Linked DNA regions of Coturnix japonica. The protein of the gene in region 1 interacts with the protein of each later gene in a pairwise test. Links are inferred from orthologs where the notes say so. Each region holds a gene or a part of one and is shown on either strand. Other genes may lie near its edges.

Region 1 (5,345 bases):
TTTAACTTCCTCAGCCTTTGCAGGAAGTTCAGCTAAATTAATACCAAGGCTCTATCTTCATTTTGAAAAATGATTTGCTACCAACAACCTGATAGATCTGCAGATCTATGACAATCCCAACTTTACATTAGGCTACAGTACGCAGTTCAAGAACACCAAGGGGAAAGCTCAGCCTATACTCATCTAATATTTTAAGAGAGGTTTTTAGCCCCTTTGGCAGTATAAACAGACATTTTTATGTAGACTGAGTTAACATACTCCCATCTACTTTTTGACTCTGGTGGACTTATAGCAGCAGTAGTTTGCCTTGCAAACCTCAAGAATCATCAAGTTCCAACCACCCTGCAGCAGGCAGGGGCTGCCAACTTCCATATCTCATACTCACATTGCCCAGGGCACCATCCAGCTTGGCCTTGAACACCTCCAGGGATCTAACAGTGACATTTAGACATTCCTATGGTAGTCTACTAAAAGTGAAGAGTGTCAGTGTTAGAAGGAAAGTGCAGATTAAAACAAGCAGTATTCACAAGGAAGAAAAAAAAAAGAAAATACTGTACATGGTATGTAATCATGAAAAAAAACCTTGCTGCTGGAGTCCACGCTGATTGATTGTATGGCTGGATAACAAAGATAGAAATGTTTATGACCCAGTGTCATTTGTACTTGCTCTTTATATGATAAGCATAATCACATTTCATGTTCCAAATCATAAACTCATCAACCTAGATTTCCACCCACGCACATTTCACCCTGTGCAGAGCAATCTCAGCAGATTTATGGCCAGACTGTGAAGTTAACTGGACATATGTTCTCCAGAATGCAATCCCAAGAAAGAACCACCTACACCTCGTTAATTAGGCACTGGTTGAATCTATTGCCTTCCAAAACAGAACCAGACCAGAACTTAAGTAGGCATGCACCTCCAGAGCCTAGAATCCTTAAAGATAAATGAATGGAACACAGTGTTCATTTCTCAGATTTACCCAGACGAGGTACAGTAAGTATCAATTCTCTCATCTCATAACCAATGGAATAGATTGCTCAGAAAAGAGGAGGCCAAGCTTCTCTGGCTCTGAATGGAGATCTACATCTTGTACATTTAGGAGTGAGTCATCCAGCTACAAGGAGTGCAGCAATGAGGAGAGAGCACATGATAAAATACAAATTGATGCTTCTTCCTCCTCAAAGCTGAGCTAGTATTACTGCTTCTAGATGTGCAATAAGCACAGATGAGTTGTGTTTACAGGAGTTGACTGCTTCCCTACCTAGACTTTGGATTGAGGTGGGAGGACAGGCATCTCAGGTTAAGGTGTTCTGCACAAAGCAGAACTCTGAGAAACATCATGCATCTAACAAGAAAGGAATGCAACACCCTTGCTGGTTCAACCTCCAGAGCAGCTGCGCTTTCAAGAAACCTTAAAACATAGTCTTTTTTATCATAGATGAAGACATTGAAGATGAACATCCAGAAATACTGCATGTAGTAACATTGGCTGAAATAGTACATCACAGTGGACACCTTAAGTCTTCAGTCTCTGGGAAAGCAATGGAACAAGTCCTCCTAGAAACAATTACAAACCAAAAGGAGCGGGCAACCATGAAAACCCAACGTGGATTTAAGAAAAGCAAACTGTGCCTGACTAACCTTATCACCTTCTGGAACAAAATGACATCTTCTAAGCACAGGGGGTGAGCAGTGGATATTGCTTCCCTGGACATCAGCAAGGTACTTCATTTTCAACAGCCCCTCTCCTAGACAGACTAGCAAGGTACAGATTGGATGTGTGGTCTGCAAGGTGGGATGTGAACCTGGCTAACAGGCTGCACTCAGAGGAGTGCTTTTACTTACACAGGCATCCTGTCACAAGTGGGATATGCCAGGAATCAGCACTGGGCCCCACAACGTTCAACATCTACATAAATGATCTGGATGCTGGGATTGACAGCATCCTCACCATGTCTGCTGATGACGCTAAACCGAGTAGTGAGATGGACACATCAGAAAGGAGAGTCCCATTACACAGAGACCTGGACAGGCTGGGAGGGTGGGCAAACACGAACTGTGTGATGCTTAACAAGCTGCTCCCCAGCACAGCCCGCAGCGGGGCAGCCCGTCCAGCCGCGGGGCGGGGAGGGCAGCAGAGTGAGAGGCTGCCGGGGCGGTGCGCCGAGTCCCGCCCGCACCTGTTCCCTCCTCCCTCCTTCCTCCTCCTCCTCGCCCACCTGCCCGCGGCTCCGCGTTCTGGCTGCGCTCGGCAGCAGCAGCGACATGTTGCCCAGAGGATCCTCGTCCATGCCGCCGCCTCCCAACCCCGCTGCCTACTTCCCTCCACCGCGGGTCACGCTGCCCTCCGGCTTGGAGATCCTGCGCACCTATTCCGGAGCCTTCATCTTCCTGGAGATCGTGAGTGCGCGGGCCGGGCTGCCCCGTTCTCCCCTTGTCTCTCGCGTTTCCCTGCTCTCCACACCCGCCGCCCTCCCTCCACCTGCCGCCGTCTCGCCCACAGCGAGGGCGGCCGCGCTGCGCCTCACCTGCCATTTTGTGAGCGGCCGTGTGGGGAAAGATGGAGCCGTGCCCGGAGCCGTGCCCAGGGCGGCTGTGTGTGTGTGTGTGTGCCCTGAAAAGTTCGTGTTATGGGTTCTGTGCGAACTCCTACAAGTGCATTTAGCGTGTACTATCAGGTCTGTACGTAACAGAGCCGCACCTGCAGTCTTGTGGAACTGGAGGAAGGTTGGTTCTACACATTGGCTAAAAATGGAACCCCACGAGCAACCTGAAGGCCTGAAACTGCTGGGAGTTCCGAGCTGAGGCTGGCCATGCGTGTTACATTCATACAGCTGCAATGTAACGCTAGGGAGGACCCAACTAATTTTGTCACTGATTACAACTAATGTTATTGCAGGCATCTGTTGGAAGATGTCTCCCTTCCAACCTGCATTCGATGAAAGTTCTCTGAATCTGCCAATGCATTAAAAAAGACGATGCCGTTTCATCTCCTTTGTCTTATCTGATTACAGCTACAAAACTAAATAGTATGGGATTGAATCCAAATATGATGCGTATCCCTATCATGCGAACTTCAGTGTGTGCATATATATGGTAAAATTTTCAGCAACAGCACAGAAATTACTTGAGTTTGCCAATCCCATTTTCAAGGCTACTTTAAGAAAGGCTTTGTCAAGCCAGTGCCTAATGCCTACAGTTAGTGAGAACAGCAGTTGGGCTCTTAGAAGATCACAGAGCCATAGAATGGCTTGTGTTGGAAGGTACCTCATAGATCATCTAGTTTTTACCCTGTGCTATGGGCAGAGCTGCCACCAACTGGATCAGGCTGCCCAGGGCCCCATCCAACCTGGCCTTGAGCACCTCCAGGGATGGGGCACCACAGCTTCTCTGGGCAGCTGTGCCAGCACCTCACCACCCTCTGAGTAAAGAATTTCCTTCTGACATCTGATCAAAGTCTCCCTTCCCCCAGATCCTATTGCTGTCTGCCCATGTTAAAGAGTTGCTCTCCCTCCTGTTTATATAAGCTCCCTTCTTCAAGCACTAGGAGTACTCTTGAAGTGCCTCCTCTAGGTTTCTGAAAGCAATCTCAGGGCTTGATCTGTGATACAAAGTGCTAATTCTTTGACAGAGAGAACAAAACTGAAAGTTCTTTCACAGCTCATCACCTGTCTTCCTTTCCTTACAGCTGTTTGGAACAATAGTCTGGATTTTGGTGGCTTCTACACAAGTTCCACTGCCTCTGCTGCAGGGATGGGTGATGTTCGTAGCAGTGACTGCGTGGTTCCTGTCCCTTGTGTTCCTGTGTGTCTTTCTCTTCGGTTATTCAAATAGAATCGCTGTCAACTGGAACCAGACAGTAAGATATTTCAGAAATATATTTTTAATAAGTATTAAATATAAATAATATATGTGTTCATTCATATATATTTGTAGAAAATGTGTATTCTGTTTTATAAATTGAAAATGTTTGATGTACTTACACCAAGTCTGAATGTCTGGCCTTCTGTTTATAATAGGAATTCAGAAATGGAAAATGGCAGAGTAAGGCTATGTGGATGACAATGACCTCTCTAACAGTGGAGGCTGAGAGTACCTAGGGAATGAAGCAGTGTACTCTTCCTCTATAAGCACATGAAGGGCATAAGCTGCAGGAAGAGAACTAGTTTAGTAAAACATGAAAATAAATTTATTTAAATGGTCAGAAATATTATGAAGTGGAAATTAGAAAGTATTTTCCAACTGCTAGAAAGGTGAAGTATAAAGACATACCATTTCCTTGAAAACATTACGTATATTTTTGAACACATTGTCTGATGTGATTGCCTGGGGTAGCACCAGACAAAGCACCCAGGTTGTCTCCTTAGTTTCCTAAGACTGTCTTTAGCTGCCTTGTGGGTCTGCTCCTTAAAGCCAGGGCTGCTCTGACAGCTGGTTGTTATAGCTTAAACTAGAGGGAATGGTTTAGAACTAGAGGGAATGGTTTTAAGCTGCGTCAGGGGAGATTCAGGCTGGACATTAGGAAGTATTACTTTTCGGAAAGAGTAGTCAGGAATTGGAATGCACTGCCCAGGGAGGTGGTGGAGTCACCGACCATGGGAGTGTTCAAGAAACGCTTGGATGTGGCACTGAGGAATATGATTTAGCCAGGAAGTATTGGTAATGGTTGGACTAGATGATATTCTAGGTCTTTTCCAACCTTGATAATTCTGTGATAATTCTGTGATATATAGTCAAAGAAGGCATGAGCTGCAGTATGATGTAACTTAACCTTTTTCTAGGAGATATTTGTCATCTTTAGGGGAATCTTGGGGACATTACAGTCTTCATTATGCTCTGCTCAGTTCCTGTCTAGTGTGAAGACAAGACTTAATTCATGCTCTAATGGAGCGCTGTGTCTTGTGCCAGAAGTTCTCACAGACTGTGCCTTCCTATTGAAAAGGGAAGCTGTGGTTCTGTTTTTCACCAACCACGCAGATATCTTGGCTTATTGACTGCTAATTTATCTACTCCTTGGTTGTCGTAAGCTGATTTTTTACTGTGAGGTTTTGAACGCAAGGTGGTATGACTCTAATAATGCTGGGAATGAGTAATAACAGGTAGCTGAACTGCCATCAAAGTGTGAATCGTTTAGAAAAAATCTTCAGAAGTATCCAAACTTCTAAAATATTAAAGCATGTTTGTTTCTAACTGCTCATCACATTCACTTTGCTCCTAGGTCCCTTTGTTTTCTTACTGACAGTCTGTGATCATAGCTGGATTTGTCATTTTCAGCATCAGTATATTTGTTTATCTCTGTGTTCTAGTTGTTCATAGACATCTCATTGAGACTAATGCTCTT
Region 2 (4,549 bases), on another chromosome or scaffold:
AGCGGGGCTGCGCTGCGAGTCCATGGCCGGGGCGGGGGGTGGGGGGTGAGCGCGGCCGCCCGGCTCCTCTTACGGCCCCGAACGGCCCCGCCCCGCCTCGGCTCCGCCCCGGGAGGATCCGCCGCTCCCCCGAGTACCGGCCCCGGTCCCAGCCCGGCGGAGCGGGGCGGCTCAGCGGCCTCGACACGAGCTCGTTCCTGGGCCCCTCCGCCCGTTCTCACCTCGCGCCGGGCAGCGACGGACCGGGACAAAACACCGACCCGGCACCGCTCCCGCCGCCCGCACCCGACGGTACCTGGACGCCCCGCGCCCTCCCCCGGTCACAGCCCCCCCGGCTCCCCCCGTCCTGCTCCGAGATCCGTTCTCCCCTCTGTGCTCCTCCCATCCAGCCTCGGGCTCCGCCGCGCTACGAAGCTCCCGCTGATGGCGTTAAACCCGGTGTCAGACCGACCCAGGGCGCTCTCGGCTCGATGCTGGAGATGGTAACACAATTCGTTCCCCTCTTCTGGTCCCCCTCATCCCCGGTGCTTACAGGGCTCCATCGGCCACACGGCACCCACAGCCAAAGCAGCACCCTGGGGTGGGCAGGGGAATAGGGCGAGCCCTGATGCTGGGCCCCACACGGAACCAGACCCACAGAGGGAGAAGTGGGACAAGAACTGCAGCAGCAGAACCAGCTCTGGGCCTCGGGGAGCCATTGGCATGCAGGGAATCCCCGTCTCAGGTCTGTCTGTGCCGTGCACAGAGGGATCCACACCACAAGATTCTGATCCACACTATTTTATTCTGATCTGTACTGCTTTATTCTGATCCATACTGTTTTATTCTGGAGTCTTACAGCCTTCACCAGGAAAGGGGGGGGGGGAGGTTGTCAGATCCAGACATTAAATTACCAGGAATTAAATTAGCAAGAAAAACAAACCGTCTTGTCTCGGGAGAAAGTGCCCAAGTGCTGCACGTGGCCGGGGCTCGAAGCAACACTCAGCTGGAGCAGGATGAGCTTGTCCCCACGCTGGGATACCGGGCAGGGCCCCAGCGCTGCCACACGCGGAGACGCAGCCGCAGCCGCAGCGCACACGGACACGCACATGCACCGTCCCTGGGATGCAGCCACCCTTTGGTCCTTGGTTTGAGTCCCCACCACCCCTCGAGGTGCCTGTGGGTGCTCAGGGAGTGGGGCTGCCCACCTGCCTCCAGGGTTGGGAGCACAGCGCCCTGGGGAAAGCAGCCCTCAGCCCAAGGGCCGCGGCCAAACCCTCCTGCGTCCACCCGTGGGAGCTGGCAAAGCCCCGGCCAGGGGATGGGAGCTGCGGCCTGGGAGACAGCCAGGCACAACCACCCCATCGCCAAAGGGAGTGTAGTGTGGGGATGGGGGCACCAGCCAGGCTGGGGGAGTGCGAGAGCAGCTGCCTGGGAGCACCAGGGATCAGCCAGAGGGGACGGGGCAGGTCTGGGGCAAGGAGCAGACAGGAGCCCCGGGCACCAGCTGCACCAGGGCTGGGACCTCATCCACCCCTCTCAGGGTCCAGGAGGGGACCCAGCAGCCCCAGGGCCACCCCTGTGCAGCTTTGTCTTCATTTCAAAATATACATTTTTTTTGCCAGAGGTGGTGGCACGTCCTGCCCAGCCCTGCGAAGCCTGGCTCAGGGAAAGCAGCTGGGACACGTGGAACTACGTACCCTGCTGCACCATGGGGAGACAGTGGGGGGCTGTGGCACATCCCACCCTGTCCCACAAAGGTGCCTGGTGGGGTCTGAGCAGCCCAGCCTGAGGAGGGGAGTGTCTGGCCCTACGGGGTCCTGGGAAGGCATCCACCATCCCACCAAGGGGTCAGCGCTGGGGAGGGAGAACAGGGCTGGGCAGGATGGGACTCCAACGGGCTGGGGGAGTGACCCACTCAGAGCTCCACCTGCCCCTAACCGGGTCCCTGCCCCATTAGTGCCCCCCGCAGCAGCAGGGCCGAGGCTGCATCCCCAGCTCACCACTCGTGATTGTGGTCTGGCCCTACACCAGCAGTCAGAGGTCCCAGTTATGGTCCATGGCTTCCCCGGCTGGGGCACAAGGTGGGGCAGGCTGGGGGGCTCACTGCTCCTCCAGCCAGGAGGGCTTCTCAGCACCAGGGGTCTTCAGCTTGATGTTGAACTGCTTGAGAGTCTGCTCCAACTGCTGCTGGTTCCCAGCGAAGTAGGCAGAAATGGCGTTGTGAAAGAGCAGGAGCTGCTTGTGCATCACCTTGATCTGGGGAGAGCAGGAGTCAACACGCAGCCACCCAGCCCCACTGCCCAGCACCTCGGGACGGCAGGAATGGGCCAGGACAAGGTCTGCCCAGCACAGAGCTGCAGCAGCCAGCTGGGAGGTGACCACCCACTGCGGGTGGAAGGCAGGAGCGTGGCAGCTCACCTGCTCTTCCCCTCACAGCTCCCCAAAAACGCACCTTGAGCACAGAGCAGCAAGGCAGCGCAGCCTGCAAGGCAGGGCCAAGGGACACGCGTGCACGACAGGGCCCCATCCTGTGCCCCGCAGCCTTCCCCACCTTGTTCTCTTCCAAGAACTTGAGCTTGATGGCCACATCGGCTCGCAGCTTTTCATACTTGTCCTTGTGGCTCTGGAACTGGCTCTGCGCTGCATCCAGCCGGCACAGGGTGCTGGCATCCCGGGGGCCCATGCTCAGCTCCTCCAGGTCTGTGCGATACGCATCATACTCCAGCCTGCGCAGGGACAGCAAAAGTCAAGAGCTGCAGAGCAGTCCCTCCTTCCAATAGCTGCAGCCAGACCTGCGGGCCACACTGCCGTCCTACCTGGCTGTCTCGTACTGCTTAACTGTCATGAGCGTGTCCTCCATGGTCTTATTTACCAGCGTGTTGATACTGGATACAAAGAAGTTAACAGCTCCCAGTAGTGTTTCACCATTCTTGCAAAGCAGTTTCTGTGTTTCTGCGTTGTAACCAAACTCCTCCTGCAGTAGGGAGGGAGGTGGGTGAGGGGCTGCGGCAGCACATCCCGTTGTGTCTCTGCCCTCCTCCAACTGCCCAGACCCAGCCTTGCTCCAGCTGTGCCCAGGAAAAGCCAGCAGCAAAAGCCCCACACCTCTCCCCAGCCCCACAGCAATCACACAGTGCACCTGCCCTCAGCCTCCTCCCGCTTTCCCTCACGTGCCCAGCGGTGCTGACCAGCAGAGCGTTGCCCAGGCCGTGCTGCAGAGACCCCAGGGTCACTGTGGGTCTCCTCCCCAGGCAGAGCAGAGACAAGGCACAACCCACAGCCCCACCAGGAATACCTGCAGCTCAGGAGATTTCTGGCTGAGGTCCGCAAAGGCATCCCCCAGGGCATGCTGTGTCTGCACCAGGCTGTAGAAGTGGTTGGTGAGAGCCCGTGCAAGCTGCAGCACACACTCGTACTTGCGCTTTGTCTCCCGGAGCAGTTCAATCTGTGTCTCCAGCTCCAGGTCCACCGTGCGGGAGCCCCGGCCAAACCTCTCTGAGATCAGCTGTTTGGTGCACTGCGGGCAGAGCAGAGGGAAGGGGTGTCAGGGCCTGGTCCCTTCCCATCCCTGTAGGGCTGCTGCACTGGTGCCGAGATGTGCTCCCCATCCATCACTGCTCCTTTGTCCCCTGCCCAAGTTCTCTGCCCTGCTGCACAGCCAGAGATGTGACATACCTTGTATGTATTGATCAGCCAGGGATGCGACGTACCTTGTATGTGTTGATGCCCCATTTCTTGACAATGTCAAACTTCTCCACAGCGATGCCGCGAACAACCTCCTCCCCTCCGACCGGTGGGCTGGGATGAGGCTGGTGAAGCCCAGAGCCTGGAACACAGCACAGCAGTGAGGCTCAGCACAGGGCTTGGATGCAGGCCAGGCTGCCCACCCCACACTGCAGTGCTCTCAGGGCTGCTGCTCCCAGGGCCACACTGCGGCCTGATGAAGTGCAAGCAGAGCAGACTCCTGGTGCAGGCAGATCCACCCTGGGCAGCCCCATGAGATGCAGGCAGGCAGCGGCTCCCCCCTGCCAGTCAGGCACTGCTACCAGGCTCAACAGAGCCCTCAGTGTCCTGTGATTTGTCACCTGCCTGCAAGCAGCAGGACTTGGCCTCTTGCAGCACAGAATCTGGCCCCCAAAACCCTACTAGACATTGATAACCAAGGCCCTGGTGCTCACTGCATTGGCTGCTGCCCACATGGGAGATGCTGTTCCCCCTTTCACTTGCAGAGCTGCTGGCAGGGACAGCCCTGCACACCAATGGCCCTGGTGCTCCTGTGCTAGGCAATACTCCTTGTGCTCCGGGGCATGGTAGAGGTGGAGGAGAGGCCAGGCAGACACACAGTGCATCCCACAGCCAGGCACAGCTCGGCCTCATTGCCTGGTGCACTGTGGTTTGGAAGTGCCACGTGTGCCCCCAGCACAAGAACCGTGAGTAGACTCTGCTGCTGGGGGAGGCATGGGTTGGGTCTGGGTTGCTTTGGGTTGCTCCCCACCACAGCAGGGCAAGAAACTGACCCTGAGAAACACTGCACACAACGGGAGCCTTAAGCCCGGGCCCTAAGCCT
Region 3 (5,205 bases), about 13 Mb from region 1:
TTTTATGTTATATAAATGTTAGTCGTGTCTCTGTATCTCTCCTCTTCGCAATGATCATGTACTTTCAACCCCCGTGCTATGTGCAGGGCTGCTAATCAACAGACCAGGCTGCCCAGAGCCACATGCAGCCTGGCCTTCAATGCCTGCAGGGATGGGGCATCCACAACCTCCTTGGGCAACCTGTTCCAGTGCTCACCACTCTCAATACAGAAATACGCATCCCAAGGGCAGCCCCACAGCTCGGCGCAGCGCGGCTCCCCCCTACCGGCCATACAAGCGCCAGTCAGGGCAGCGGCGGGGAGGCTGATGTAGCAGGAGCTGCGCTTCTTAGCGATCAAAAGTCATAACTGATCATGGGAATCTCCACAGAGTGGGACGAGCCGACAGATCGGAGCAAACGGGAACACGAGGCCACCACAGCGGCGATGCGGGGCGGCAGCGCGGCACTGAGGGCAGCACAACCCGCCCTCCTCGCCGCGCCCTCACCTGTCGGGGATCCATGGCCCCGGTGCCTCCAGCGCTGCCCGGCCGCCTCCGCGGCTGCTGCCGGAGCATCGGGGCGGCCGGCGTCTCCTCAGGCGGCATTCCGCTGCACCGCCGCCTCGCTGCCGTCAGCAGCCGCCATTGGGCGCCCGCCAGCGCTGCTGCCCGGCTCCAGCCCGGCGCCGCCATGTTGTCCCGCGTGGTGGGCGGGCACGAACTGTGACCCCTGTGGGCGCATGCGCCGGCCGCCATCTTAGAGGGGAGGGAGAGATGGCACCAGCGGCACCTGGCGGACGTGACTCTTCGAGCGCGGCCGATCGGCCCTGTGACCCACAGCAACACCACACAGACACTACGTTACACACATAATGGTTTTATTGAACTTCGGGCATGTAATTGAGCGTATATACACTGCAACTGACATGCTAATAAAGGCGGGGAACCTTTATTCTATACATCTGCAGCAGGTGAAGGAGCACAGATTTCACACACAGCTGTTTCAAAGCTGGTTTCCAGTTCTAAGAACAGCGATAAACACATTTTTTGCCAGAAATTATGATCTTACCCACATCTTGTGTCAGAAACAGAAAGCAGAATCTGCAGAGAACGATGGCATAAAGCAACAGGCGGGAGAGCAGCCCTCGGACACAGGGCACTGCCTTTAGGTGTTAACAGCATCAGTGCCCTGCTCCTACAGGGCCCTCACAGCTACAAACAGATGTGGCGTTTTATCAATGGCCAGGCTACAAGGAAAACAACATTAGCACTCGAAAGCAAGTTGATGCCTAAGAGAAAACCCACTTTCACGCCCAGACTTATCCTCACATTCCTGTTGGTGTAAATGTGACACTACTGTGTGAATTAAGATGACTCACAGCTGATCAGGAGATCCTAACAGTATATTTTCCCCCCAACATTTCATACAAAATGCAGTGTTGAAAGCATCAGCATCACTGAACTAAACCAGCACTAATAGGCATCTTGCTAACAGAGCCTTCCTAGTTGGGTAACCCACAGACAAGTCCCAAGTTCTAGATGTTATGCATTACCCCCACTCGCATCTCTTGGAAGCTTTTAACTCAATACATTCCCACACGGCTGTAAGCCTGATACAAATAACATGTTTAAAGCCTGCTGAAAGCCTTTCTTGAAGCTGTGAGTGTCCCTCCTAAGTCTGGTGTCCCATGCAGGCAACACGTAACTGAAATAATGAGAAGGGAGTGCAGTAGCAAGGTTCAGTTTGGCAGCAGTGGTAGATTCAAAATGATTAAGTTGAACAGTAGCTACAGATTCAAAAAGAATTATGTATCCACACGTATGTACAGTATAATTAACTTCTCCAAAGAGTTTTTCATCGCTGTATTTCAAAGGTTGCCTTCAAATAAGGGATAAGTCCTTTAAATGCTTGAAAGGCATAAAAATTCCCTTCCCCACGCAAAACCCCAAACAAGCAACGTATTTTAGTTTCAAAAATAATCTGAACCCACAACAAGCTTGGTATCAATTCATCTGTTACAACAGCTACGTGCTAAAGAAAAGCACATCTGGTGGAAAGAGCACAGAGGATGTTACAAGTGTGCTTGGTTCCTGCTTGCAGCATCTGGCAGTGGGTAGCAGGACAGAGGCAGGAATCTCAGTGCGTCTCCTCCTGTGTCTCTTCTGCAATCGTTTCTGTGGCACTGGCATTGGCAGCTGAGTTCAGAACTTCTCCAAAGTCCCCGCTGGCAGGTTTGCTTCCTCCAACTTTAGACTAAACCATAAGAAAGAGCCTCAGTATAAAATTGCAGTTATATGGCACACAGGTTAGCTGCACCTCTGCACAAAGCGGCTTAATAACCCTCTTCAGCTCAACTCTTCCAGGAGCGAGCTACATCTGAAGGTTATTTGGACAAGATCTTAATCATAAGCATAAGGATCTGGAATGGTTTTCAGTTGAGGCTGAGAGCTCATCTCCAGTTCCACAGTGAAACCCAGCAGCTATGATACTTTTACACGGCAACATGTTTACCTTTTTATTTCTCTGTGCAGTATGTACTGTGTACTGTGGTGTGAGCACTAGCAACACTCAGCTTGCTAGACAGCATTAGATCCACATGCTATTTTTTGCATGCTTCTCACCTAACCCAGTGTGCCCAAAAAAGTCAAACCCGAATCTCATTACATGTACTAGCAATTTTTAAAAGCCGAGTTTGCTTTTTGCTTTGTTTGCTTAATTTGGAGAAGCTACTTATAGTTATTTCCGGCATTTAAAGTTTTTCTAAGTCAATTCATTTTTACAAACACTGTCTGCAAAATCCAGGCACGAAGACCTTGCACATTTTATGACATTTGATGTCAGAAACAAGGCAAGCATCCCAAGCTGTGCTATGTATTTTCAATATATAACACTAGGTATGTTATACTAGCTGTCTGTGGAAGTTAGATACAGGTTAAGCCACCTGATTAAGGCATTTTCCACGTTTGTTTTCTTCTCAAGTCATTAGGCAGAGAAACTGTTTCCCCTGTGCTTAGGAAGACATCACCTAAGAACCCCTTGACAATTTACCAATAACTTTAAAATTCAAGCAAAAAAAAAAGTCACCCAGAGCTCACAAAGGTCTTTTCTCCACATTCACAGCTCCACAATCACCAAGTCACACTTACCTTCAAGGTTTCAACTTTTTCCTCAAAGGATTTGAAAGTAGGAGAATTTCTAGGGGACAAAAAGGAACCACAGAATTAAAAACACATCTAGTCAGCGTATAAACATCAGAGAACAAGCAAACAGTGGTTTTTTTCCAATGTCAACATGCATTTTGTTTGGGGCTTTTTCCTTATTTTTAAGGATAGCCCAAAATAGCTTATAACTGGATCTCTACTTATACTACAAAACTAAAATTCAACAGTCAAGCTGCAGCTCATTCACACCTTTTGCAGTTAGCAATTGCCAGTATCAACACTAGCTTCTTTAATGACAAAATGGAAGGGAAAATAGCAGGTTTGTGGCTTATGGGTTAGAACACTTTGCCATCCTGAATAAAACTTGGCTGAGTTGGGTTCTTTGGGGGATTTATTTTGCTTGGGTTTTTTTGCTTGTCATAGGAAAATAACTTTAACAGGTTGTGTGTTTAATTAACAGAACAGTTCACAGTGCTAACGTAAGTTTATGGAGACTCCCCTTTGCCTTTTAATTGCTAGAGACAGCTGTGATTATAAATGCACGAGAAGAGCAGGACAGCTCACAGTGTTCAATATTGAGGTTCAGTGTATTGTTATTACTAGGATCAAAAGAGTGCCTTAATACTCCAATTAGCTGCCACTGCTGCCTTCCAGTTTGTACAATAGCTCGTACAGTTTCCTGCCTCGTGTAGAGTGGCAAATGCTTGCCTTTGCTGGACCAAGACTAAATTTTTTACTTGCTTTCATAGACAGTTGTAACACCAAGCAACTGTCTTTTAAACTTCCAAAATATTACAGGTCTAACAAGAAGATAGAAGTTGTTACAGCTCTCTAAAGAGTAGGAAAGCACACTCAGTCGCATTCCAGGTGTGAAATACCATCACTGTTAAGCAGAAATAAATGTCACCCTACACATCAGTATATGAAATCCATTCATTTTTTATCTGTTAGTTAAATTCCTTTTTGATTCCACACTTGACAACAAATACACCCAACAGCTGGATTACGCATACGTTACCTCATAATAGGCATGCTAATCGAATGTTGTATGGAGCGTATACTAAATTGCCAGCATTAAGAAAAAAAGAAAGCAAGAAGTTAGTTGAAGTGACAGAGGAGAAACTGGCTTAGAAAGATGACTTACCGGACACCACCTTTGGTAAATAGTCATATAAAAACAGTTTAGGTTTGCTTTTTAAAATTGCTTAGCCATGCACACACGAGTACAACAGACCAAAAGCTGCAGCTCCTTCCTTTCCAAATGTATTCAGGTGCCATGCTTGTTAGTAACTACATACTCTTTATTTTCTTCTTTTTAGCTGCAGTCTGTCTACCTGTTAAGTCTTCCAAGCAATGAGACATGCTGCATTCACAGTTGTGATGATATCAAGTATAAAGCAAACACTTAAGAGTTATCGGTCAAGTCCTCCTACTCCAAGGATTAGCCCACTTTGTGTTCCCACTTCGATACAACACGTTTCACACTCATCAATATAAAATCAACTAACAGGAGAGAGCAGATCCACCCATCTATATTCAAAGGTTCTGGGTGGGGACAAGGAGAAAGTCCTAGTTCCAATGCTGATCTGAAACTCATGAAGATTTGTGTAACCTGCCAGTGTTGCCATACTGACAACATGTACCTATTCCTATTAAATGACTGGAGTTACACTAAGGAGCTCCCAGATAACTTCAAAGACCAACAGTTTAATGCGCTGAATGAAACACATGCTAACAAATTGCCTTAAGGTTGGGACCCCTTAAGGCAGATGCACATCTGAAGGATACTGTGGGTGCACAGTACTGGGAATCAGAATCACAGAGGCCAGTTGCTGTCCTGACACATCAGCAAGGTGCAGCCACGTTTTATCCCCTTACCCTACACCCCTTTTCTGCTGTTTTTCACCTTCACTGATGTTGCAGCTTCAGCCAAGTTGTTTTTAGAGCACACGTAGATGACAATCTCCACAAGCACCATCTGCATTCTTTGCTCTTTGACACAGATTACTAGAAATTCTGGTTTTGCTGCTCTTGCCAGGTTTCAGCATAGAACTAGGTTGATAT

Evidence for each region. The genes of interacting proteins can lie anywhere in the genome.
Region 2: the proteins of MAL2 (region 1) and ARFIP2 interact in binary tests that used the Homo sapiens proteins (3 or more experiments, as listed by UniProt). The two-hybrid records come from large-scale screens. The link is inferred for Coturnix japonica from reciprocal best matches to the Homo sapiens genes MAL2 and ARFIP2.
Region 3: the proteins of MAL2 (region 1) and TPD52 interact in a two-hybrid assay, tested with the Homo sapiens proteins (2 studies listed by BioGRID and IntAct). The link is inferred for Coturnix japonica from reciprocal best matches to the Homo sapiens genes MAL2 and TPD52.

What each region holds. Positions count from the first base shown.
Region 1 is NC_029517.1:122,946,783-122,952,127, forward strand, and holds the start of MAL2 (protein MAL2), read left to right. Parts: upstream 1-2,100; 5' UTR 2,101-2,269; coding exon 2,270-2,404; intron 2,405-3,692; coding exon 3,693-3,863; intron 3,864-5,345. UniProt on the Homo sapiens protein: Member of the machinery of polarized transport. Required for the indirect transcytotic route at the step of the egress of the transcytosing cargo from perinuclear endosomes in order for it to travel to the apical surface via a raft-dependent pathway.
Region 2 is NC_029516.1:174,021,613-174,026,161, reverse strand, and holds the end of ARFIP2 (arfaptin-2), read right to left. Parts: intron 3,809-4,549; coding exon 3,693-3,808; intron 3,500-3,692; coding exon 3,278-3,499; intron 2,957-3,277; coding exon 2,799-2,956; intron 2,709-2,798; coding exon 2,534-2,708; intron 2,239-2,533; coding exon 2,083-2,238; 3' UTR 841-2,082; downstream 1-840. Other genes in the region: FH2 domain-containing protein 1-like, read right to left, coding at 1-24. UniProt on the Homo sapiens protein: Plays a role in constitutive metalloproteinase (MMP) secretion from the trans Golgi network. May have important functions during vesicle biogenesis at certain cargo subdomains, which could be predominantly utilized by secreted MMPs, such as MMP7 and MMP2.
Region 3 is NC_029517.1:109,520,718-109,525,922, forward strand, and holds the end of TPD52 (tumor protein D52), read right to left. Parts: intron 4,202-5,205; coding exon 4,160-4,201; intron 3,176-4,159; coding exon 3,127-3,175; intron 2,234-3,126; coding exon 2,117-2,233; 3' UTR 841-2,116; downstream 1-840. Other genes in the region: MRPS28 (28S ribosomal protein S28, mitochondrial), read right to left, coding at 487-735.